2 linked regions of the Nothobranchius furzeri genome follow. The protein of the gene in region 2 interacts with the protein of the main gene of each other region in a pairwise test. Links are inferred from orthologs where the notes say so. Each region holds a gene or a part of one and is shown on either strand. Other genes may lie near its edges.

What was found.
Region 1: the proteins of transcription elongation factor A N-terminal and central domain-containing protein (region 2) and obi1 interact in binary tests that used the Homo sapiens proteins (3 or more experiments, as listed by UniProt). The two-hybrid records come from large-scale screens. The link is inferred for Nothobranchius furzeri from reciprocal best matches to the Homo sapiens genes TCEANC and OBI1.

What each region holds. Positions count from the first base shown.
Region 1 is NC_091749.1:40,138,874-40,144,750, forward strand, and holds the end of obi1 (ORC ubiquitin ligase 1), read right to left. Parts: intron 4,994-5,877; coding exon 4,902-4,993; intron 4,755-4,901; coding exon 4,533-4,754; intron 4,299-4,532; coding exon 4,210-4,298; intron 3,680-4,209; coding exon 2,368-3,679; 3' UTR 2,023-2,367; downstream 1-2,022. UniProt on the Homo sapiens protein: E3 ubiquitin ligase essential for DNA replication origin activation during S phase.
Region 2 is NC_091754.1:47,118,418-47,124,240, forward strand, and holds transcription elongation factor A N-terminal and central domain-containing protein, read right to left. Parts: upstream 3,523-5,823; 5' UTR 3,435-3,522; intron 3,370-3,434; 5' UTR 3,307-3,369; coding exon 2,392-3,306; 3' UTR 2,214-2,391; downstream 1-2,213.

The sequences.
Region 1 (5,877 bases), on a different chromosome or scaffold from region 2:
TGAGAGAGGCTCTTACACCTGAGCGCCTCAGATCTCGTCAACAAGACCGTGCTCGGCTGCTCTCGCGAGACACAAACTGCCAGAACAGTGAACTGGTTGACAGATAAGAAAAAAACGCTCACAGGGCAAGGAAAGAACATCTGGAGAGTAGATGTTTTTAAAGGAGCCTTTCCACAGGAGTCTGTGACAGTCCCTTTTGGACTCAGTTCTTTATTTAGACCACTGACCAGAAGGGGAAATAGAAAGGATTTTATGTAATGCGGACAACTTACAAATATTTATATTACCTGACCTATTGACCAATATTTCACTGCATATTTTAAAGCTTGCCAGCTTTACTGCCTGTTAAATTAGACAAAGAGGAGGAGGCAGCGGTGGGTCCTCCACCTGATCATTAAAGTCCATCATTGCCAAATGAGAGCTACACAAATTGATTTAATACATCACTGATCATTTTGAAGTCTTCACCTAAATTTATCTCAATGAATTAACACATCATTAATTTTAACCACAATGGTTATCCAATTAAAATTTCATGCAGCAATTAGAGGTATGTGAAATATACACAATATCCTTTCATTTGCATAATAAATAATGCACTAACTTAATGTGTGTGTGGTCTATTACATGGCTCCTGACATGCTTTGGTCCAAATTAACAAGCAGTGTCATTTCTATTTTAATACCAACCAATTAATAACTGTCACAGTTAACATTGAGAAACTGTTAAACATTGTTTTCTACATGAAAATGTGGACAATAGATATGGCTCACCAAAGAATATCTTCATTTCTTCAAGTCTTCGTTTTTTGTGAGTGTGTGTGTGTGTGGGGGGGGGGGGGGGTAAATGCCATCTTTTATATAAAAATCAAGCATATGCTGTCGAGAGCCCACCTGGAGCGGGTACTGCATGCCTTTGTAATTTCTAGGCTTGACTACTGCGACTCTCTATATGCAGGGTTGTGTCAGTCAACACTGCATCGCCTACAGGTTGTGCAGAACAGCGCTGCCAGGTTCCTGACTGGGACCAGGAAACGGGACCACATCAGTCCGGTTCTGGCCTCTCTGCACTGGCTTCCGATTTTCCTCGTCTTTGTTTATCATTTCTTCCAGAGTGGTGCTCCCCCCTATCTGGCCACTCTCCTGAACAAACATTCCCCATCACGTGCTCTGCGCTCCTCTGACCAAGGCCTGCTCGCTGTCCCTCGGTCTAGGTGTCGTACCCGTGGGGACCGGGCTTTCTCAGTCCTAGCACCGTTACTCTGGAACCAGTTGCCACCCTCAGTTAGGCTGTCCCCTTCTCTGCCAGTCTTTAAGAATCACCTAAAAACACACCTCCTCCGCTTGGCGTTTCCAGAACATGTTTGATTATGGCCTTCTATTATGTTGAATCCATTCCAGTTTTCATTGGTACACTCAATCCATCCACTCAATCCAAATGTGTTTCACACTTTTGTCCTTTACCAGAATGTTTCATCTATCTTGTAATTTCCATTATGTATTTTGTAATTTGTGTTTTGTAATCTGAATTTCTTTTATTGTTGATTTATTCAATATATTTACATACAACTGTACAATGTTCAGCGCTTTGGGCTTCCTGACAGGGTTGCGGAAGGCGCTTTATAAATAAAGCTTTGATTGATTGATTGATTGATTGATATAGTACCTCTCAAGATCAAAATTAATCATGAGATGCTTTACAAAAACAAAAAATTTAAGTATAAAAAGATTTTTTAAAATGATTAAAAATATGTTTAAAAGGAGAAAAGAACAAATAAATGTAAGTAAAGGGAGACAGAAAATTTATAGGAAAGAGGGAAATCAATGGATCGTGGGAAAGGCGGAATGAGAAAGGAAGAAGGAGAGGGTAGTGGCAAAGGTCATGCAAAAGCCAGGCTGACCTAGTGAGCTTCAGCTGCTTTTTAAAGGAGACCACTGAGTCCACTGATCTCAGGCTCAGGAGCTCCAGAGTCTGGGGGGCCACAGCAGTGGCCTCCAGGGGGCGTCAGGGAGGTTGCATTGCTTTATTTCTTTATTTCTTAACAAAATTTTCCATGTGTTAATTCATTATAATACAGCACATGATAGTCATAATCCAGCAGTAATCTTCAGTGTCCTAATTGCTAAATAAAAGGAAATTACAGACAAGCAGGCAGGTAAAAAAGAGCGAGAGGCCCGACGGTGAATGAGCTGAGATGTTGCAAGTGCATTTTAAAAGCTATTTAACTGTTTTCCTAGCTTGTTCCATATAACACTACAGAAGACACGTGACAATGGGTTACACCCTATAACATCACTGTTATTCGTTTATTTCCCAACAACATATAGCTAGAATCTAATCTAAGATCACGGGGGTTGTATGAAACCTTCACATGAGCTTGGACAGTTTGGTGGGACTGCTGGAGTTAAAGGGGCTGTGAGACTTCCTCTTTACTGGCTGGCTGCTGTTCAGAGCGTGTCTGTCTCTTGTGTTTACAGGCTTACTACCAGTGCAGCCAGAGGAAGAGGAAGTTACGTGATCCTGATCTTGGAGTTGGGCCTCTGGACTGAGGGAGCCAGAGGGGACAGCCTCGACCTGATCCAGATGATCAAACAGCAAATCAAAAGACAGCTCATCAGTTTGAGAGGGCTCTCTGTGCTCAGTGGAACCAAACCTACAAGGACCACCCTCAACAGAAAAATTATCCTCAGATCCACTTGGAGCCTCTTTGGAAATCAAAGTGTCGTCCATGTTGCTACCCAGATCCTGTTGTACGTCCTCACCTTGGACTGCAGGTTTACCACCAGAGCCGGACGAGGAATCTGGGCAGATTTGAGATTCTGGGGTGAGGGTGCCATTCAAGTCTCCTGGAGGAGAGGAAGTCAAGGAGAGCTGTGATCCTCTGCTACTGGAACTTTCTCCATCGAGCATCATGGAGTCCAGCTCTGATATTTTGTCCAGGTAAGCTGCATCCATGGAGGCCTCACTAGATGTCTGGAAGCTGTTAGGGTCTTCCCTTATAGCATTAGCAGATGTAGATTCCTTCACTGAGTTGTCTTCACTTGGACCTGGATGCCAGGAGCCCCAGAAGATAGACTTTGAGGGGTCCATGTCACTCAAGCCTTTGGGAGATTTCTCAACGCTGCTGAATTTGTTCCCCAAGGCTGAAGCTGTCTGTGATGGACTTGGATTTTCCTCAAAGTTAAGCTTTCTCAGATGAGGCACAGGTTTAAATGCAACTTTCTTCCCGCGGAGGCCTGGACTTCTCAGGGTCAGGGATCGGAAAGCAGAAGATGGAGTGGTGGGAAGGAAATCAGAGGAGGTGCTTTCCAAGTCCTCCTTCTTCTGCTCTCCATTTGGACTCTTGTCTTCCACAGATGGCTGGAACACCAAACTGGGATTTCTAGAAAATGTTCGAAACTCGACCTCTGGGTTGCTGCAGATGGACATCCTCTCATTGTCACTCAAACTTCTCATCATCATGTTGAATTTCTGCTCGTGTTTGAGAACATCTGCCCCACTGTTGCTGCTTGCAAATGTATCCTGGACTTCAAGATGCTTCTTCTCAGATTTCCTGACTTGAGCTTCCAGCTCATCGATGTACTGGTCGCTGCGCTCCAGAGCTCGTTTGAGGTGTTCCACATCACGCTCATGCTGTTGAATCTTTGATTCCAGCGCTGCCACTGTGTATCGACCAAACCTGAGGACAGAGCATTTTATTTTGAAATCACAACACAAAGGTCAAATGGCGTGTCATGTAGTCACAACACGTTTAGTTTAAATATCTTATGGGAGCTAGAAATCAAAAACAAGCCATCAGTTTCACCAAAATGCAAAAATCTTAAGACAGGAAGTTACAAGCAGGTGTAATTTTTATTAATTATTAGCAGTGTTACTTCTTGAGGCTGATCCAGTGGAGTGTTGCTCATTATTTGACTGACAGATAACCGTATCGGTTTACGTTATATTTAATCTTAAAAATATCAAAACTAAATAGAAAATTCTATAAAATAAAAATGTTTTAACTATTCTGATGATTGAAGTACCAAAGATGCTGCCAATGCACAAATCACTGTCTTGCTCTTCTTAGGATTAAGCTGTTGCAGATAAATGGAAACGATAGAGAATTATGTGTGGAAAAGAGAAAACTGCAAGGCAAAAAGCCCAAAAAAAGGCTTCAAGATCAAAAAATGAGGCGAACCTTTGATGGCATTTCACAAAAATACTTACTTCTGAGGAGACCTGCTGGCCACCTCGGTCTTGAGCCTCGTGTTCTCGTGTATGAGGTTAACATTTTGAGATCGTAAGGACTTGTTGGCCTACAAAATAAAACACACAGACTCATTAGAAACTAGATTATTTTACGAATTGATTTTTAAAACCACTAAAAATGTCCTAGAAAAGAATGGAATAGTAAGTTATTTTTATGTGTGTTTTTTTTCTTCTGCACACAAAATATTTGGGTGATCATCCATTCAGATTGACCAAGTGGATCCAAACCAAAGACAGGTCATGTTGAGCGTTCTCTGTAGAACACACTCCAGCGTGTGTACCTCTCTGAGCTTGTCCATGTCCTGCTTTATTTTATCACAGACATCTGTAGCCGTTTGCAGTTTGCTCTTCCATTCCTCCATAACAAATGGAGAAACCTTTTTGTCATCTGGTTGGGCTGAATTCACGCTGCAGGGATGCAACGCAGTCTTCAGCTGCTCTTCCAGATGTAGATTTTTTGTTTTTAACTCCTCGTTTTCTCTCATAAGCCCGTCGATCTCCTCCTGTCACAAGAAGTTTGCAAAATTACCTTCTAACCACCAAAATAACAGCTTGTTGAATAAAAATGCATACTGTGTTTAGCTAACAAGGCAAAAACAAAGACATTTAGCTGAATTCTGAACTAAAATAGAGCAAAAAAACTTGACAACCTCATACTCCCGTAAAAGCAGCTCTCCCCTGGTTTTCCTGAGACAATTCCTCATGGAAGGACTATCCAAGTAATCACTCTCATTTGTCCCTCCTGCAGCAGAAGTACACAAATAGTAAAACATTAACAAACAAAAACACATTGGTAATATTTCCAGCTTTCCACCCCAGATATGAACAATATTAGCAGGATTTTTATATTTTAAATTGCTGCCCTTTCAAATCAAGTCTGGTGTTAACTGAGATATCAAAGAATTGTGCTAAAAACATTCAACTTATAAAGTTTCTGTTCCTGCCTAAAGCTTCCCAAGACTTCAGAGAAGCATTTTCCCTCCTCTGATCTCACCCACCCTTTATGAATGTAGTTGATACCTGAAACACCCATGGCAGACATGGCTAAATTTTCAGTAAGTCATCTTAGAGCTATTTATATCTACACTACACACTGGACCATTATCGATCGATTGAAAAAGTAATAGATCTTAAAACAGAGAAGCTTGTGACCCTAGAAAATCACTAAAGAAATATGACTTGTTTTAAACATTTGGCAAGAGGAAACCTGCTTGATTTCGAAAGATCAACAGAACACAAATCAGGTTTGCAAAGTTGCATCTGAATAAACCACAAGCACTGGAAAGCTATGACCTTTACCAAAGCTGAGATGTTCGGTCACAAAGTGGAGCATGGGGTTGATCATTTGAACTTGTTTTTCTTAACCATGAAAATGAAGTTGACCGTGAGCTCTAGATCAGTGGTTCCCAAAAGTATTTAGCCGCGCACCCCCTTCTATGTCCCGACCATGTCAACGCACCCCCCAGCCCCCACATCAGGGCATGGCTATACATACATATATATATATATATATATATATATATACATACATATATATATATATATATATACATACATATATATATATATATATATATATATATATATACACATATATATATATATATATGTGTGTATATACTTATA
Region 2 (5,823 bases):
TTTTGTTCGTGTTCTCCCGAGCGTAGATCTGATGCTCACAGCTGCGTCAGAAACCAGACATATCTGACAACATACAGGAAACTCAACTCTTCCTTCCTCTGAGCCTTCAGCAAATGAACACTTGACATGATGTTCTCAGAAACTCGTGATGTCACGGCAATGTGTCCACAAGTCATTTGTACGCCAGTTTGTGCCCCCCCCTCAGGCTGCTTTGGAGGCCTCACATGCTCACTGTTTCCCTGAAATCACATGTCTGAATCGCAGGATTCAGTTTGCAACACAGTGGCGGATTTAGCTATTTGGGGGCCCAAGGCGAACACAGACATGGGGGCCCCCTCACACTAAATTTTCGACAATCTTATCTTTAACTGGAGTTGCGAAACTCTCCGCTCTTCTGACATGAGTTATATTCACTTTTTATTAGTCCTCCTCTTTTTCCTGTCTTTCTCTCCCTTTGAGTCCCTTCAATATTTGCTCTTCTTTCTGCTTCGACAATCTTATCTTTAACTGGAGTTGCGAAACTCTCCGCTCTTCTGACATGAGTTATATTCACTTTTTATTAGTCCTCCTCTTTTTCCTGTCTTTCTCTCCCTTTGAGTCCCTTCAATATTTGCTCTTCTTTCTGCTTCCTGTCAGTGCTCCTGTGCTTTTGCCTTTCTTTTTTTCCATTTTCCATTTTGGTCTATGTTTTCCTTCCTTTAAACATTTTTCCATTGTCTTTGCTTTTCTGCTTCCTTGTGATGTTTACATTGAAAAACGACGTCACTTTCAAAGTGAAGATTGCTTTTTTAAAGCAAGCTGCTTCTTTCTCTTATTGGAGCCACTAGGATAACTCCATTTCATCCTTAGTTTTGACTACTGCTTCGAGTTTGTTATGAAAGCTCCCGCCTCTCTTCTTCTTTTTTGTGGTCTTATGGCACTTGGCAAACAAGAATTTGGTGCATTACTGCCACCAACTGGATTGGAGTGGAATGACTACCAATCACTTCCTGTTTGTGCAATAGGAATAGTCCATTGTGGCATTAACAGAGGGGGTGCCAGCAGTCAGGGCTAGGGGGGCCCCCAACAGAAGGGGGCCCCAGGCGGCTGCCGACCTATGCCTAATGGTAAAACCGCCACTGGCAACAAATGAATGAGATATTTGCTGTCACTTTTTTGGGGTTTCACCCGATATCCAAGCTCTCAATGACTCACTTATAAGTGCAGCAGGAAGATGGTGGAAGCCACTAATGGCGTTTAAATAAACAGCTGCAAATGTAAAATCTCTGAAGAGCGAGACAGGAAATGATTCAGAGAATCTGATGAGTGGGGCTGCAGTTAAATAACTTCTGGTTTCACTTTACAACTAAAAGCAGTGCCTCAGCTCTTCAGAGGTAAATCAAAAACATGGCTGGGCTTTAAAGAGTAAATAACCCCCAAAACAACGTTTTTTTTTTTTGTTTATAAACTGTATAATTGGGTCTTTACAAATGTAATATTTCTGTTTCTGTGCATTTTTTGACATGTTTGTGTAAACTTGATTAAATCTAGATCTAGAAACATCTTAGGGCTGCCCCCTGTGGGTTGAACTGTGGCTACTGCATTTTAAATTTATGATTGACTGGGGCTGGTACAATTCCACGTCATCAGTACAGTCTCCTCCTACTCCTCCTCCCTCCCGCGATGGAAATTCCCCGCACTTGGCCATGCCACTCTGTGCCTCCTGGCAACGCCCACTTTCATGGCATGTTTCAAATCTTGACTAAGGGTGGAGTTACATTTTCTGATGGTGTGCAGTCCCTCTTTAAGGGAAGCTAAACTAAATACTTGACTTACACATTTATTTAATCCAGAAAACAAATAAAACTGTTTAAAAGCCGGTTTGGTATTTAGAATAAAGGTTGAAAGTTCTTCGTGAGGCTGGGACCATCTGTTCCTCTAGAGCAGTGGTTCCCAAACTTATTTAGCCGCGCACCCCCTTCTATGTCCCGACCATGTCGACGCACCCCCCCAGCCCCCACATCAGGGCATGGCTATATATATATATATATATATATATATATATATATATATATATATATATATATATATGTATGGTGACATATGACAGACTTCTCTGAGCTCTGCAGCCATTACACTTTTCACCTCGCGCACCCCCTAGCACCCCCGGGGGTGCGCGCACCACACTTTGGGAATCCCTACTCTAGAGGTTTAAGGGTCTTGTTTATGGAGGATGGAAGGATGGAGCTGCCCTGGGACACACTGGCATTACCAGTCCCTCTCACCACAACCAGTAGGTAAGGAGGATGAAGTGTCTTGTCACAACGACTGCGTCAGAATAACGGGGATGCAAATCTGCAACCCTCTGGTTTTGGGGATGAAAAATTAACTCCTCTGCCACCATCACCTGATTTAGAAGCAAACCCAGCCACTGTGGTACCACTGCTGACCACACCCCCTACAGGTCACAAATGTCATAGCGTCCTGGTCAATGCCTCCCTGCCTCACCCATGCAGGTAGAAACAGAGCACCCCTGGACACCTGTGTCACCCTACAGTCTGATCCTCCACACCGTTTGCAGTGGATCTTCTGCGTCGGCGTCCCCTCCACCCCTTGAGGAAGCTGTCTCTCACTCACACCTTGTGATGAAAACTCCTCTCTCAGCTGCCGGAGCTCTGGACTGGCCATGTCCTCCACAGACATCTTGGCAAAGTCCTGCGGCAGCAGAGAGCCACTCAGTAGGCCCTGGCACAGGTGAGGACTTTTGGGATTCCTCAGGTTTGCGACTTTGCTCCTCACACAGGTTTTGTATTTGAGTCTGCTGGTTTTGTGGAGGTCATGGATGTGCTTTTCAATGTCTTCAGCCAGCTGCTCCGCCTTGATCTGATCAGGAGGTTCAGGATGGAGGGCAGCTAAGAGAAGGTGAACGCATTTGGTCCTCACAGAGTCCGACAAAGCAGAAGTACCCTGGAGGGGACGGTCTGCCTGCTGTTCTGGAGCACGTACTCCACCATCTCCATCCACTTGGGCTGAAGAACCTGCAGGATCTTTTCTCTCATCTGAGTGTGTCCCTCCTGTCCTCTCACAGCTGTACTGTTTCCTCCACCTGGACAACAAGCTCTTAACCCCCTTCCTCACATTGGTGTCTGAGCAGGTCTTCAAGATTCCATAGAGGACTTTGACCAGTTCTGTTGTTTCCAGCTGCTCTGCTGTGATGTGAGACTTATCCAGGTCACCAAGGAGGGTCTGGATGTCCACGAAGCTTCGGTCTGCAGCCAGCTTCTCCATCTGGACAGCAAGGTGGACGATTTCCTTTGTGTCCATCATGGCTGCAGAGAATGTTATCTATTTTAGACCTTGGCAGGATGCATGTCTGTTATGTTTGATGTCCTAACGTAGATAGAGATGTCAGCAACACGCTTAAATACAGAATAAATGGGTTTAGACTGATTTACCTGAGCTTCTTCATGAGTTTCAGCTTCTTCCTGCTAACTGAGAACCTCAAACAAGGGAGCAGCCATATTGTTTTTGTCTTTCATCTATGAAACTAACTACATGCACCACTAGATGGAGCTGCTGACTCACTCACTCTGAAGGTTCAGCTGAAAGTCTTTCTGCATTTATGGGGAATAAAGTTTGTAATGTTTGATTTGTAAGTTCACCACAGTAGATGTGCTGCAGGATTATAGCTTTTGTAAAAGGATTCAGACGTGTGCATTTGGCTTCTAGGGGCGTTTATTCCCACAGCAAGCACAAACCCTTTCTTTAGACTACAATTCCTGAAGGTGTAAACACATATTTAATGATTAAAACACACTAATCCTTGGGATTGAGACCAACTTCATCATTTCTAGGTGAATGCAGCATGTTTGGACTCTGCATGCAGAAACAGGCCAAGCAGCCTCCAGACAAGAATCCAGGAGGGTATCTGGTAACAAGACGGGGCAGGCTCCTCAGCTCCGGAGCAATCATAGGTTATGAAGGCATGTTTGTGGTTTTAAAGTTAAGACCAGAGATTTTGTTGTACGTCAAACTGCAGAAGGGGCAGCTAGTTGTTATCCTCAGAGTGAGCCGCTTTAGAAAAGCTGCTGCATCGCCCAGAGAGACATGGGCTCACTGGATAAGAGAGCACAACTGATGTTGCTCCTACATTGGGATTGTGTAGCAAACTCTGCGTTTTTAACAGTGTCTCTATAAACAAAGTTGTGATTAATAATGTTTGTACTAACAGTAGATAGCTTTCTGAAAAGGCTCAGTTTGGTGAAATGTTTAACATTCCATAAAACTGGAATAACTTTGGGAATGTTACGATATTCCAATTGAACTTGACTCTTAGATTCGCCAGAAGTGCCACATTTTGCACGTGAAGTTTTCCAAGTGAGCATTAAACTGTATTCATGAAATGATGCTGCATGAACCACTTCCCTTGCACTAGCTGTTAGCAATTGTCAGTCCGGTAGAATGAAACTAATTTCTCTGATTTGAGGCCTTTCAGTAACCTGTCTTTAACTTCTTCTCAGAGACTGCCTTCAAACTGGCTGGAACACTAAACAACCGCCTCAATGAATGCTAGCTTCATGCTAACTGTTAATTAGCTGTAGCTAACTTGTCTTATGGGCCATTCCCATCTGTACCGGGTCGGCCCGGGCCGGGTAGCACCGGTCGGCCCCAGCCTGGCCCGGAAACAGTCCAATGGTCTCCTGTACCTCACAGCCATGACTGGTGTCTCTAGCTTCTCTAAATCATTTTGTTTCTCACACAAAGGTAAAACAAATAAAAGATGTGTAAAGTGAGGCAACTCAGCATGAAACTGGGGTTTATGGTAAGTTTAAATATGCAACAACAGAAATGCACAAACGTATAAACAAAGCTCTACAGCTCTGGGGGTAACATAACTGTCAGCGTGACATCACCATCTTAAACTTTATTTGGAATGTTTTTTTTTCAACATTCATGTATCTGGTGCCAGCAGAAGCATCAGCGGTATGAGGGAAAAGCGATAAAAGCTTCAGGCTCTTAAACAGCAGCCTTAAAGGAGGCTGGAGCTTCCAAGAAGCTTTTAACAGCTTTAATGTCTCAAGTTTCCAGAAAAAGGGGGAAGTGTGTCGGCCAGAGGAGTTATCTTTCATTTGGGACAGGAAATGTGCTATTTTAGACTTCTTGAGCTCTTTGTGGTTAGGGACAACTCCGAGTCTTCAGAGCAGTCCGGCCACACACGCCTGGAATTCCCAAAAACACGCAGAAGGACCTTATCAAGTCATTTCTCTGCCCGTCTGCACTTGAGGTTTCCTTCCTCATCAGTGAGAGTGGAATTTTACCAGCATGCAGGAGCACCACTCCCCAGTAGGGGGCGCTCTTGATTCTGTGCTGCTTCGGCTGCTTCTGACAAAGACTATGAGGAAGTGGGGTCTGTAGTCCCCGCCTTGCTCCAGCAGACCACGCCACAAACATGATGGCATGTTCGCCTGAACACACACACACACACACACACACACGCACACGCACGCGCGCGCGCCCTGGGGGATGCCTCTTGTTAAAGAGATCTACTTCAGTCATGACAGGTTGGCATGTCCCAACCAGGGCACATGTATCATAGTATGAGGTTCCGAAAGTGCCGTGCACAAGAAGAGCATGAAGAGGTGATTGAGAAAAAAACAATGACATTCCAACCAGCTTCTCAGTTCTGTTTCTCGGAGCTGTTTTTGGGTCATTTTGGTTCTGCTGAGGATGAGACGCAAAGTCCTCAACAGTCATGAGACCTGAAAGTGCTTTTATACAGGATGTTGTCCCTCCTGAGTCCAGTTGAAGACCACTTTGGACATGTCTCCTCCTATACTGTAGATG